Linked DNA regions of Coturnix japonica. The protein of the gene in region 3 interacts with the protein of the main gene of each other region in a pairwise test. Links are inferred from orthologs where the notes say so. Each region holds a gene or a part of one and is shown on either strand. Other genes may lie near its edges.

The links.
Region 1: the proteins of regulator of G-protein signaling 19-like (region 3) and GNAZ interact in a two-hybrid assay, tested with the Homo sapiens proteins (2 studies listed by BioGRID). The link is inferred for Coturnix japonica from reciprocal best matches to the Homo sapiens genes RGS19 and GNAZ.
Region 2: the proteins of regulator of G-protein signaling 19-like (region 3) and GNAO1 interact in a two-hybrid assay, tested with the Homo sapiens proteins (2 studies listed by BioGRID). The link is inferred for Coturnix japonica from reciprocal best matches to the Homo sapiens genes RGS19 and GNAO1.
Region 4: the proteins of regulator of G-protein signaling 19-like (region 3) and guanine nucleotide-binding protein G(i) subunit alpha-1 interact in a two-hybrid assay, tested with the Homo sapiens proteins (2 studies listed by BioGRID). The link is inferred for Coturnix japonica from reciprocal best matches to the Homo sapiens genes RGS19 and GNAI1.

The regions. Positions count from the first base shown.
Region 1 is NC_029530.1:7,698,353-7,700,682, forward strand, and holds part of GNAZ (guanine nucleotide-binding protein G(z) subunit alpha), read right to left. Parts: intron 286-2,330; coding exon 1-285. UniProt on the Homo sapiens protein: Guanine nucleotide-binding proteins (G proteins) are involved as modulators or transducers in various transmembrane signaling systems.
Region 2 is NC_029526.1:480,214-484,274, forward strand, and holds the start of GNAO1 (guanine nucleotide-binding protein G(o) subunit alpha), read right to left. Parts: upstream 2,858-4,061; 5' UTR 2,599-2,857; coding exon 2,481-2,598; intron 2,408-2,480; coding exon 2,365-2,407; intron 1-2,364. UniProt on the Homo sapiens protein: Guanine nucleotide-binding proteins (G proteins) function as transducers downstream of G protein-coupled receptors (GPCRs) in numerous signaling cascades.
Region 3 is NC_029535.1:8,395,449-8,399,040, forward strand, and holds part of regulator of G-protein signaling 19-like, read left to right. Parts: intron 1-634; 5' UTR 635-768; intron 769-1,037; 5' UTR 1,038-1,073; coding exon 1,074-1,174; intron 1,175-2,313; coding exon 2,314-2,388; intron 2,389-3,048; coding exon 3,049-3,283; intron 3,284-3,592. UniProt on the Homo sapiens protein: Inhibits signal transduction by increasing the GTPase activity of G protein alpha subunits thereby driving them into their inactive GDP-bound form. Binds to G-alpha subfamily 1 members, with the order G(i)a3 > G(i)a1 > G(o)a >> G(z)a/G(i)a2.
Region 4 is NC_029516.1:10,215,959-10,219,550, forward strand, and holds part of guanine nucleotide-binding protein G(i) subunit alpha-1, read right to left. Parts: intron 2,828-3,592; coding exon 2,699-2,827; intron 1-2,698. UniProt on the Homo sapiens protein: Guanine nucleotide-binding proteins (G proteins) function as transducers downstream of G protein-coupled receptors (GPCRs) in numerous signaling cascades.

The DNA.
Region 1 (2,330 bases), on a different chromosome or scaffold from region 3:
GACAAACTGGACGTTCTTGGTATCAGTGGCGCAGGTGAAGTGCGAGTAGATCTCCTTGGTCTCCTTGTTGCGATTTAAGTCCTCAAACTGGCGCTGGATGTAGACTGCTGCCTCCTCATACGTGTTTTGGCCTTTGTATTCAGGAAAGCAGACTGTTAAGGGGATGCGTCGGATTTTTTCTGCCAGCAGATCTTTCTTATTCAAAAAAAGGATGAGGGAAGTGTTGATAAACCAGTTGTTGTTGCAGATGGAATCAAAGAGGCGCAAACTTTCTGCCATTCGACTCTGTAAGTGAGAAAACAACGGGGTAAATAGCATTTCAGTGATAGCACACAATATATTATTATTATTTCAATTAATGAGCAAAATGTGCTTGTAGAAGGAACATTTATTCTATTTGGTGACTGTTCATCTTACCTGAGCAAGAAACTTTAGGAACCTTAATTCACTCATTTTGATACACTTTTCTACAGTCTGGCACTTATTATTTTTAATATTTTTTTAAAAAATTTACTATTATGAGGGCAAAATACAGCTGAATCCACTGGACGTGATCATGTGAGACATTTAAGTTTAGTATCTTAGCCCTCTGAGCTTAAGCAGCAAGTAACTAAACACTGCACTGAACTACAAAGAGAAGATAAGGGAATTTGTCTTATTTAGACTGGTTAAGAAGAGACTAAGGGTTGATCTAATAAAACCCTTCAATTATTTGAAGCATAGTTACAAAGATGATGAAGATAAATTCTTATCATCAGTATCACATGAAGTATCATGTAGCAGTGAACACTAATTGCAGCTTGGAAGATTTAGATTAGAATTTAGAGGAAAAAAATAACTAGAAGACTCAATGTTTTGTGAAACCCCCATCTGTACTTGTTTTCTCCCCTCAACTTGATAGAGTTGATCTGGCCTGATTTACTGTTGGCAATAGTCCAGCTTCAGCTGGGATGGGATAATAAATGATCTTCAGAGATCACATCTGGCCAATCTTTAATTCTGTGAATCATAAGAACATATTTATCATTCAAACCATAAATGAGAAGACAATTTTTTGTATTCAGTTTTATGCAGATCTCAAACTTTTTATCCCAAAGGGAAGAATTTAAGTACAAGGGTTATTTTTCTGCTAGAAAGAGCTACACTTAGCTGTCACTATTCTGTTGATGATGTAGGATGAAAGGGAAATAGCCAAAGAATGTAGTTGTGGCCTCTCTGAATACCCATTCTCGACTGCTTCATTTTGTCAGGCTCACTTCACCTTAGAGTAGCCCTAAGGTCTGTCACCAAAGCAACTGTTTGCCTTAAATGAAGTGAAATAATGCCTCGCCTATATAAGAGAATCACACTACTTTCTCCAGGAATAGTTAGAATTATGGAAGTAGTATGCTACATAACATACTGGTAAGAAAAACAAAACTTTAAATATTATTTATAGCAAAGAACTTTATCATAATGACAGTCTCTGGAAAAAAAAAATACAAAAAGCAAGTATATTTAATAACTCATATTTGACAGAAAACCTAAAGAATGACCCCCCCATACACTATTTTACATAGAAAATCTATTATAATAACTCCTCAAAACAGAGCTGTAGGTTTACAATCATAGATCATGTTAGAAGTCCACTTTATACTGGCTGTTCAACAATGTATTTTCCTGTCCAGTTTAGCACGAAAAATAACACTTTTTAAAATCACAAAATATGAAATAACTTCCCAGGAATTAGTGACCACCACAAAACATAAATACACAGAACTATACAATATGCCATAAAGAGAGAATGAGATAAAATTATGATATATCATCTACATTTTATGCATTTCTAAAAATAATTACAATTTCAAGGAGAAAAGGAAGTTACTATAGAACTCAAAAGAACTTGCAAGAGAATATAAAGCAAGGATGTAAACTAGAAAATATAAAGGTTGTAAAATTAAACGCTCAAATGTCAAATGCTGAAATCATCATTTCCAATGTAGCATTATTCATGTAACTCACGTGTTTGAATGAATGCACTTTTTTCTACATATGCTAGTCAATATTTTCCTTTACTGTCACTACTCAGTCTATACATCTATACTTCACTATAAAATTACTATTTATGAGCTGCTGAAGGGACAGAATTACTAGTTTCTTCTCAAGCTTATAATTATTGTATCTGAGTATTTCATTGGCTACATTTGTTTTCCCAGCATGTTGTCAGATTAAGAGGTACTGCTAACAACAATGTATAAAATACACAATGAGAAATTAGTATAGAAGAGACCCAGTAATTCTAGATACTCAGTTTAGGCGCTTAAAACCTATTTTCTCAGCACACTCATTTC
Region 2 (4,061 bases), on a different chromosome or scaffold from region 3:
AATCTAATGAACGCGCAATTTCATCTTTATTAAGAATTCATTAGGTTCTCAGCAAGCCCCGTGTAATGGAGCTTGACCAGGTGAAATGCTAATGCCTGCATTATATTTAAATTCATTTTCAGAAGCATTGGTTTCCCCTGCGGTGCCGGCTCCCCCCGGCTGCTGCCGCGTCCCCACCCAGCCCCACTGCTCGCCCGGAGCTCCCAGCATGGCAGCCAGCTCCGCATCCTCAGGCACAAGGCTGCAGGCTGCCGTGTGCCACATTAGGGCTGCTCCCTTCAACATATAGACCTACAACAGGGTGTTTTTCAGCCCTCACTCTACTAATATAGCCCAGCCAGCCGGCTTTTATCTGGAACCAGTTCGTTTAAACAACAAGAGCTCTGGTCCCCGCGGCACAGGAGCCCGTGCGTGGTTGTGTAAGGCACCATGGCCACAGCTGCCCCTTCACCCACAGCGCTGTCGCTGTTCCAGTGGCAGCCACAGCCTCTCCTTCCACCAAAGCATCGCCCGCCATTCCAGCACGCTCCTGCAGAAGCCATTCCTAGAGATTAAATAATTTAGTGGTGTTCATCTGCAGCAGTTCCTCTCCCGATCCACCTTTCACATACAAACAAGTGCAAACCAAACCGATCCTCCCGGCCCCACATCCCCAAATGCCCTTTGACGGGGCCTCGGAGCCTTTGCACACCGATAGCAGCGGGAGAGGCGGATGGAACGGCACCGAGGGCGAGGCTGCTCGCTCCCACAGCCCTGCAGCTCTATGGGAAGAACGCTGCCTCGGGCGGGGACGGTGGTTCGGTCCTCTGGGACCCCCCCGCTACAGGAGATGTGCTGTTCCCCGTACAATCACGGCACCGCGCCGGGCTGCGGGCCCGCGGCGAGCCCACGCCCGAGGGTTGGCGAGCGGCGCCCGAGCCCCTTCGGCTATTTCCGAGCCTGCTCGGCTCCCCCCCGACCGCCCCCGAGCGCTCTCCGAAGGCAGCCGAGCGCCGAGGGAGGAGACGAGCGCTGCGCTCCCCGCGGTTCGAGTCCCCGCTGGGCGCTGTCCACCACGAGAACCGCCTGAAAGCCGCGCCACGCCGCGCCCGAGGGACAGCGCGGAGGGACTGCGGATGGCTACGGGCACACCGGGCACACCGGGCACACCGGGCACACCGGGCACATCGGGCACACCGCCCGCCCCACGGCCCCTCCCAGACACCGGCTCCTTCCCTATCGGGAAACAAGAACCGCTCCGTGCCTCTACCACCGTGACACCCAGCCCCAATGCACAGCTATGGCGCCTGCTCGTTCCAGTGGGAGGCTGCGGCTGGATGGGCTTTAATTAAAGGGAAGAAAAGGGAATGGAGTAATTCTGCACCTCCACACCTCCGTTGGTTCCCTGCACCTTCACTGGCTTCCCCGCACCTCCATTAGCTCCCTGTGCCTCTGCTGGCTCTCTCATGCCTCCGTTGGATCCCCATGCCTCCATTGAGCTCCCCACACCCCCGTTGACTCTCCCACTCTTCTGTACACTCTCCCACACCTCTATATGATGTCCTACATCTCTATAGGTTCTCTCACATCTCCAATGGCTCTTCCATACTTCTGTTGTCTCTCTCACACCACCACTGACTCTCCCACATCTCTATATGCTCTCCCAGATCTCTAAAGGCCCTCCCACACCTCTGTTGGCTCTCCCACATCTCTACAAGGCTCTCCCAAATCTCTGTAGGCTCTCCTACATCTCTGTTGACTCTCCTACATCTCTGTTGACTCTCCCACACCTCTGTTGGCTCTCCCACACCTCTACAGGCTCTCCCACCCCTCATTATGCTCTCCCACAGCCCCGCTGGCTCTCCCCCTGGAAGCACCGCCTGGCCACGTGCTGGGATCACTGTGTGCTGGGGGCACGGTGTGGGGCAGCCATGTCAGCCCACTCCCATTGGGGCCCGGCACAGCTGTCAGGGAGGTGCTGCATGAAGGCAGGGCTGATTTTTCAGGGCGCGTTGGGTCGCGTGTTTTTCCTTTCCCCTTTTTAATAACCCGTTTTCAACATAATTGGCGACCGGCGGCCAAGTTCGCCTCTCATTAATTAAAAGGCTCAAATCTCGGGTAAAAGGGGCTTTGGGTGGCAGCGAGCCTCGCTTTAAATCCGCATTACGGGCGGATTTCGTGCTTTTTTCCCCCTCCCTCCTCCTCCTCCTCCCGAGCGCCGGTCCCGGCCGCAGCCGCCCACCGCCCGCCCCGCCGCCCTCATCCCGGCGTTCAGCACCACGGGGCCCCGAACAGCAGCGGCCGCCGCCTCCCGCCCGGCGCTGCCCTCGGGTACAACATGGCGCCCGCGGCCCTCCGCGCCGCCCCGCGCCCCGCGGCACTCACTTCATCTGCTTCACGATGGTGCTCTTCCCCGACTCTCCGGCCCCTGCGGGACAGAGAGAGACAAGCGGTGAGCGCGGGGCGCGGCGGCGCGGGGCGCGGAGCGGAGCGGGGCTCACCGAGCAGCAGCAGCTTCACGTCTTTGGCCGCGCTGATGCCGTCCTCCTTCAGGTTCTTCTCGATGGCCTTGCTGCGCTCCAGGGCGGCCCGCTCCTCGGCGCTCAGGGTACATCCCATGGCGAGAACGGATTGAATGGAATTAAAAAGAAAAAAAAAGAAAAGAAAAAGAAAAAAAAAAAGGGAGGGGATAAAAAAAAAAGCGCAGCCCCCGCCGCCGCCGGGCGCACCGAGCTGCGGGCAGCGCAACGCCGACAGCCGCGGGGATTAACAAAGGCCTGCGGGCTCCGCAGCGGCGGGGCCGGCGGCTCCGTGCCCGAGCGCTCAGCGCATCCACGGGCTGCGGGCAGCGCGGGCGGCCGCGGGCGGGGCGGGGCGGAGCTGAAGGAGGAGGAGGAGCGAAGGGGGAGGAGGAACGTGACGAACGGGGCGGGGCCGCTCCGGGCTGCGCGCCTGGCGGGGCGCGGGGATGCGGCGGCGGTGCGGGATGTGCGGGATGTGCCGGGGGAGGGGGACGCGCTCCGCAGGCCTCGCCCGCTGCCGTGACGCGCGAGTACCGCGCATGCTCCCAGCACAGCGCATGAGGGAACGGGCTGGGTCAGATGGAGAGGAGCTCGGCATGGAGCTCGGCATGGAGCTCGGCATGGAGCTCGGCATGGAGCTCATGGCTCTGCGACCCCTGACAGCAGGTTGGGGGGGGGCTCGGCCTCTGCTCCAGATAACAGCGGCGGGGTGAGAGGTAGTGACCTCGAGCTGCACCGCGGATGGTCAGGTTGGGGACTGGGAACTATTCCTTCTTTAAGAGTGAGGCGGTGGCACAGCTGCGCAGGGAAGGGGGGAGTCACCATCCATGGAGCTGTCAGAGCCGTGCCATGTGGTCCTGGTGGGGTGAGCTGGGGTTGGACCCAGGGAAGGGAGAGCTCTGATTGATTCTATGAAACCAAGGCCTGTATTCTGGGAGCAGGCTGCCCTCTGCCACGAGCAGCCAGGCCGAGGAGCTCACTGAAGGAACAGAGCTGCTGCCACAGCCCTCTCCACCTCCCTGCAAACAGAACCAGAAGGATGCTGTGGGGCCGCTGCCCGCTGTGACTATCCATAATGAAACACCCGGCCCAGGTGGGGCTGGGCACAGGCTGACATTATATGACCTCCTTCCCATAAAGCACCGTTTCCATTTTCCTTCTACACCTCTGAAACAAAGGGGAGAAGCGTGGCATGTGGTTAACAGTGTATAGCAGAGATGTGAGGCAGAGCAGACAAAGGGAAGTAAAAGGGAGCTCATAAATAATGTTAGCGTACTCAAGGGCCAGCGGTATTTACCGAACATTTGTGAGCTAATAGGTACTGAATATCTGAATTTGGGGTAATTTATTTCTGGGAGCCCAGGGGAAAAGGGTATACCTGCATGGGAAAGCAAACCTACTGCCTGTATTCAGCAGGGAGCGGGTGGGGGTGGGGGTGGCTGCGGAGCAATTCCTGCTCTTTCATACTTGAGCAGATCTCCTGTGTAAAATCAATAGGATCAGAATTTCAATCAGTAGGTTTCATTTCAATGGTACCAGCCAGAGGGCATTATGAAAAGT
Region 3 (3,592 bases):
CCAGGTCCTGGCTCTGCAGCAGGATGGTGACCTGGGGCAATGGGACAAGGAGCATTTCCACTGCAGGACGGGAATGGAGCAGGTGCAGTCGGGGCCACTGAGCTCTGCAGAGCTCTGAGCCTGGCCAACACTTGGCACAGAGTTTGGGTGTAGTGCTGGGAGTTGAGAACTTCCCTCGTTTCCTTCCACTCACATGATGCCGTGGAGCAGCTCTGACTTCCCTGTCCTGAACCTAAATGCCTTCATGGTGCCTAGCAGTGGTATGGGGCACAGCTGTGCGAGGCTGAACACTGACCGTGGACTGTGCCCAATCCCTGCAGGGCAGAGCTGGGGTTTGGAGCATCCAGCATGGAGTAAGCAGTCCCCAAACAGTGGGGGGACCCTATGAGTGCCACACTGTCACACTGCCAGCAAAGCAAGAGCAGGGTCAGAGAGCAGCGAGGGGCAGCCCACTGCCGTACCCTCCCCTCCTCCTTTCCTTCTCACTTCCTTTTCTTGCACCAATGTCTGCCTGCATTACCCCAGCCTGCACAGGGCTCTTCCCAGCATGGCACAGCCCTTCCCCGGATGCTCCCACGCAGGGTCCATGCTCACCATGGTGGTAACATGGTGCCACTCCATTTGCCTGTTGCAGGCTCCAGCCGTGCGGCTGCAGGAACGCTAACCGGGCTGCTCGGGTCACCCGCAGCCTGGGAGCAGCAGCGAGCAGCAGAAGAACCCCTGGAGCACGACCCACCCACGGCCACCGTGTATGAGGCTGGGACGCAGGTGAGATGGAAACAGGGCTGGGAGCAATGGGGGACAGGGAGGGGAGTGCAAATAAAGCACAGCAAACCACAGTGAGAGGGTCCCTTGGTCACCTCTGTGAGGTCTGGAGAGGAGGACGCATGGGGACAGTGTGTCACCTAGAGCAGAGGGAAGACCTCAGCCCCTTGGATGCCCCTTGGACCCTAATGCTGCTTCTTGAGGTGGGGGGAGCCAGGTTGGTTGCCTATCCTCTGCTCACCCACTGCTCTCCATTCCCTCCTGCCTTGCAGTACGCAGGACCCGCGTCCGCAGAGCCACCCCTTCCGATGTCCCGGCATGAGACTTCTCCGACAACGGTGCAACCCGCCAGCAACCACCGCCCCAACGCCTGCTGCTTCTGCTGGTGCTGCTGCTGCAGTTGCTCATGGTAAGCACGTGTTACACGAGCAGCACTTTGGTCCCACGTGGCTGGTGCAGCACCGAGGTGTGGGTGCAGCTGGAGCTGCATGATGGGGTCCCTTTGGGCACAGCACCATGGGCAGCAGTGCAGGAGCACAGCTGGGATGGAGCCGTCCCCACTCACCTTATCTCAGGGGTGCCCATATATCAGGTTTTGGAGAGTTAACCTGCTCTCAGCATCAACACATTGTGAGATTGCTGACAGCTTTGTGCACCGCTGCAGTGTTGGGTTCTGCAGCTACTGACGGCATTGAACCCAGAGGATCATCCAGACCTGGAGCTGAACAAACCCAGGGACCAAGCGCAGCACTGATGCATCATCACTGTGCAAGGCCCTGCTCTTGGAGCCCCATTCTCCTGATCCAGCTTTGTTTCCTCAAATGAATCATAGAATGTAACAATGCAACAAGGACTGAGAGCAGCACAACACCCACCCGTGTCCCACCTGGTCATCTGCAGGACTTTGGGAGCAGAAGCAATCGAGGATGGTGCAATGCAATCCCAGATTCGGATGCATCATGCACTGAGCCCTGTGCCCAGCCCAGCTGCTGCTCTGAGGGCTAAACCCAGGATTGCAGCCAGGGCCAGTGTTGCAAGCAGGAAGCTCTGCGGTCGGAGCCCAGCTCCGAAATTGGTGGGCCTGGGGGAAGTTGGCTGGAGGCCGCTTTCCTATTGCAGCACAAGGCTGAGGATGGGGGGAACAGGAGACATCGGTGCTGCAGTTGTTGCCTGCAGGCGGTGCTGGTGCTGTGCGTCGTGGCTGCACCAAGTGCAGGATCCGGCACTTTTGTCTTCCTAATTCTGTCCCTGCCGTCTGCTTCCTGCGTGGGCTGAGCCCTGCTGGCAGCTGGAGGAGGTGATAGCACAGCACGGTGCCCTGCAGCAATGTATTGGTGCTGGGTGGCACGGTGCATGTTGGCACAGCAGTGCAGGAAACATCGCTGCGTGGTCAGGGCGGAATTGCACAAAGGAAGGGAAGGAACAGAGGTGTGGGATGTGGGTGCCTACAAAGGGAGTTTGATGGGCAGGAGGTAGCGGGGTCAGGGTGAGGTGGGGCTGCAGCCCCGTGTCCCACCACCCATTACTACCTTTCCATCTCCACGTTAGGAACGAGGACCGGGAGCGAGCGTGGAGGGCGTCCCGGGAGACCAAACTGGAGACCATCCCAAACTGTGAAGCGTGGTGAGTGCGGGGACACCGGGTGCATGGCACGGCATCTCATGGCACGGCATCTCATGGCACGGCATCTCATGGCGCAGCATCTCATGGCATGGCACAGGGAGCCGTTCACAGCCTCTCTGCTTGGAGGGATATGTGGGGGCTCTGAGCATCCACTGCCTTGGAAATGAGCACACAGCTCAGCCATGGGTGCTCTGCTAGTGCCAGGGATCAGATGCATTCATTAGCCAGTGGTAATGATGGCTCCTGCCTTGCTTTAGTGATTAGGATTTTGCTCCCCCAACAGTCAGCGCTGGTGCATGGTCAGCACAGGAAGGGGTTTGTGCCCTCCTGGGTATGTGCAGAGCCAGCAGCATAATTCCCCTTTGGTGGAATTCACTTTTAACCTGTGGCCTGGCTGAGCAGAGCCGGGACAAACCCCATGGGCACTTATGGAGATCTCCAGGAGCTCCATAATGAACAGAGCCTGAGCAAGAGCACGAGCACAGGGGATGTTTGGGAGCATTCCCCCTGGGATGGCTCAGAGCTGGGATCATCCCTGTGCACTCCTTGTTCTGGGGGATGGATACAGTGAAATAAACCTGGCCCCATCCCATCCCATATCCAGCACTGTACTCCAGCTGTAACACCTTCCCTTTGCTTCCCACCCCGCTGACCCCACAGCTCCAAACCCACCACGGAGGAGGTTCGGGGCTGGGCTCAGTCCTTTGACAAGCTGATGAAGAGCCCGGCGGGTCGCAACGTCTTCCGGGAGTTCTTGAGGACTGAATACAGTGAGGAGAACATGCTCTTCTGGTTGGCGTGCGAGGAGCTCAAAACCGAATGCAACAAACACACCATCGATGAGAAGGCCAGGACCATCTATGAGGACTACATCTCCATCCTCTCACCCAAGGAAGTACGTGGCACAAATGATCCGGGAAGGTTTTGGTCCATTTCTGTGGTTTAAGTGGAGGTTTGGGGGTGGGTTCTTAGGGAAACGACACCCAGGTGCACAGTGTTGGGGGTACCGGAGGGATGGTCACGGTGCTATGTCCCTAAATCCAACGGGATGGCATCGGAAGGATGTTGGTACCCAGCTACATCCCCATCCTGTCTGTCCCCGAAGTTCCTCGCGTTCCGGGGTTGTGCTGCGGGGCCGAAACCTCACGAGGGCACCATCGTGCCGAGATGATGCGGCTGCGGGGGACACCGCAACCCCGCTCCG
Region 4 (3,592 bases), on a different chromosome or scaffold from region 3:
TAAGTGTACTTCTTAAGTGACACTGAAAATTATTTTCAACATTCTCTTCTTAAAAGACAAAGCAGGCATCATATAATAAGACAGACTAGTAATTTCCCCTCTAATAAAAAACTTTTTGGAAATGCAGTTAAGTGGCACAACTAAACTATAAAGATGTTTCTTTCCAATTCCCTGCTAATCAGAAACAGCGTGATATGAAAAGACCACATACAAGCACTTAACAGCAGAGGAACAGCAAGTTAGCATAGTTTACATAAATTTGCTTTTCTCTGCTATCTAAGTGCTTTGAGGACTATTTTTTAACATCTGAGCTACAGTGAATCTGGAAGACTGAATGTTTTATTAGACATCTTTATTAACTGAACCTCAAGTATTCTGCAAGCCAGAAAAACAGTATCCTGGATTTAATGAACTAAGTAATGAAAAAAAGAATTAAACAACCAAGCAACAACAACAGAAACAAAATGCAATCTAATAAGCGGACAATAGTACTACCCTAAAATGGATGCAAATGGCTGAATTTTCTCAACAAAACAGAACACAGCCCTTTTCCATCTGTCTCCTTTCTACCATGCAAAGAAGAGTCTTGTCTCAGATTCCTGTGATTACTTTCAGCTTAAAAACAATGTGAAAAGGTCACCATATGCCTCCTTAGCTATGGTAGCCAATATTTTACCACGCAAATATTGGATTTTTCCTCCTTGTTACAAGGAAATGCAATTATTCCTTTTAAGACAGGCCTGACTTATGTCTTCAGTGATATTTCCAAGCAATTTTAACTTTTTAAGGCATCATCATGAAAAAGTTTAGAATTCAGTAAGTATAAAAATATTTACACGGGAAGGAGATGACGGAAGAACAAAGGATAGAACTTCTCCATCCACTTTAGTTAGCATCTACCATGAAAGCCTTAATTGTGTACACAGAGATCTGTTAGGTCACAGTCTCAGAACACTAAGACACTGACAGAAGCTGCCTGATATTCAGATAAATAAAAGAGCTTTGAAAGAATGAGAAGCTTGGATGCTTTACAGATTCCTCCTCACAATCTGGGAGTATGCCTTAATATTCCAATCATAGTGCAGTTTGGCACTATACTATGAATACTATATTAATACTATAAAAGTTTTGCTTCTGCAGAATACATTACCGTCTACAGTAGACTACAAAGAAAGACAAGGCAATACTGAAAGAATTAAAGTTTGTAAGAGCTGAATCTACCTGCCCTATCTAAAGGATGATGCCATTAAATAAATGCTTCAAGGAACTTCCATTTAATGTATTTAAATAATACAGACTTCCCTGGTGAGATTGCATGGTGAATGTCAATATATTAAGAGAAATTATTTCACTGAACCAAGTCTAAAGCACCACAGATGGTCCTGTCCTTCAAGTCATCTCTATGCTAATCTTTGTTGCTTAGCTCTATGGATTGGTTTCTGAATGGTTTATCAGCAAGTGTGCAAATTTATAGATCTGTGCAAGGTATTTCATTAACAATTAATGATTTTTTTAAAGCTAGTGTTGCCAAGTTTGAGATGCTTTGCTCCTTTCTATTATTTAAGCTGAGAACACAGCTCCAGCACCCATAGAACATGTGATATGTTATGAACATGTGATTCTTATGATTTCTTTCACTGTTAGCTTGTTTTTTCTTGTTGCTCTTGTTATGTTTTTTGTTTTTGTTTTTTGTTTTTTTTTTTTTTCCTTTTAAGGTTATACAAGTTGATTGCTTCCCTACTCCCCAAGCCCCAGACATGAATAAGGCTTATTTGACAAATATTTTTTGTAACCTCTCTCACCTGTCACAAAAGATAGGAGGCTCTGGAAAGTCTCATAATTAATTAACTGACTTTTATCATTGATTATGTTTTCCCCAGGCTGTAAGAGGAGGGGGTGGTGATGTACATGTGTAGACAGAAAACCTACTGATTTGGTGTACCACATGACTAAGATAAATTGCAGTTGATGAGATTCAATTGGTTATTTTTAGAAACCAGAATGTGTATAGATGTGCTGACAACTATCTCCACACACTCTAAAACATACATGCAATGAGAGTTGTACTGAGCTTCCTTCTCATTTTCCTAGAAAGGAAAAGCCAAAGTAGTGTTACACTTACACTATCCTACACTTTCATAATGAATGTCTTTAAACAGAAGATGGTTACAAGGCTAGTAGTGTTTGGTACAAACTGTGTCAAAAGAAACTTTACTAACAGTCTTTCATCAGTAAATAAAGTATTACCTTACAAAAACCTAAAGTATAGCTTTAAGTTCAATTCTCCAGGAAAAAGGATTTGCTGTTTCATAACCAGAGCAACAAATATTTACAGCTCTCCAACTGAATTTAAAGGGAAAAATCTGATCAAACAACTATATGTTAACACAGTATAAAAGTGAATATTTCAAGATTTGATTTACACTGAAAATAAACTTTCCAAAAAGCTTCAAATAAAAACAAAAGCATTTATTACTTAATATTGCCATATTTATATTGATTTACTATAGAAATTCAAACAACTCCCAGATACCTTCAGAAAACTGAGACAAGCAGGAATTTTCCAGTGGAAAGAAAAATAATAAAATAATTAGTTATGGTTAGACAAATTTGTTAAATTGCATCACTAAAAGTCCATCCACGAGAACTTTACAAAAGCTACTAACAGACAGATGAATACGCAGAATAATTTACATACTTAAAATGAAGATCTTTGAAAGTAAAGTGAGTTTCCACTATTCCTGTAGTTTTCACTCTAGTCCTGAGAACATCCTGTTGAGTTGGAATGTAGCTTGTTTGTGCTATCCTGTCCAAGTCATTCAAGTAACTGGAGGTAAAAATAAATACTGCATTCAGTTATTCATAAAATAGTAATCAAATAATTGTGAAAAATTACACAAGTTCTAGTTCTATTCATTACACTGTACATGACTCTTATATGAACAATGTTCTCTGAGATAAAACGTTATTTTCCTCTTATTTTCCCACTTCTTTTTTAAAAATGAAGTTTTAAAGACACCTTTGTTCTAGAAGAAAAATCATGATTGATTCTACTACAAAGCACTACTATTCTGAAATCCCAGAAAGCAGACACGGTTCTACATTTACCAGTGTTCTTTGTATTAACACCTTCACCCTTGTATAGCTCTGCAGGAAGTTAATGTACTTTTACTACAACTAAAACCCAAGTTACTCTGAAAACAGTTGTGAAGAGAACAACTCAGTATCTTAGTCAGAATTAATATATGTTTTAGTATAATGCTAAATACACGATCAGTGATTTTCTACTGAGAATTTATAATTGCACATATGTTTACAACAGTAAGGTCTCATTTCCAAAATTGTTGTGATGCACGCCAAGAAGCCCAGTGATTCTAAAAACAATACAAATCTTATTTGTGCTTTTTGCACAGTAAATAGAGAAGATATCAACATTTAAGTGTAATCAAAACTTAGCAATTCTCAGGATACAATTGCATGTCTAAAACATCAATTTTACTATGAAACTGGAGGCAAAGTTATCTAAAACAACGAAACAAAAAAGCAGAGTTTACTAGAGGAAGAGGGATCCTTCTAAATGAAGAGCTCTGTA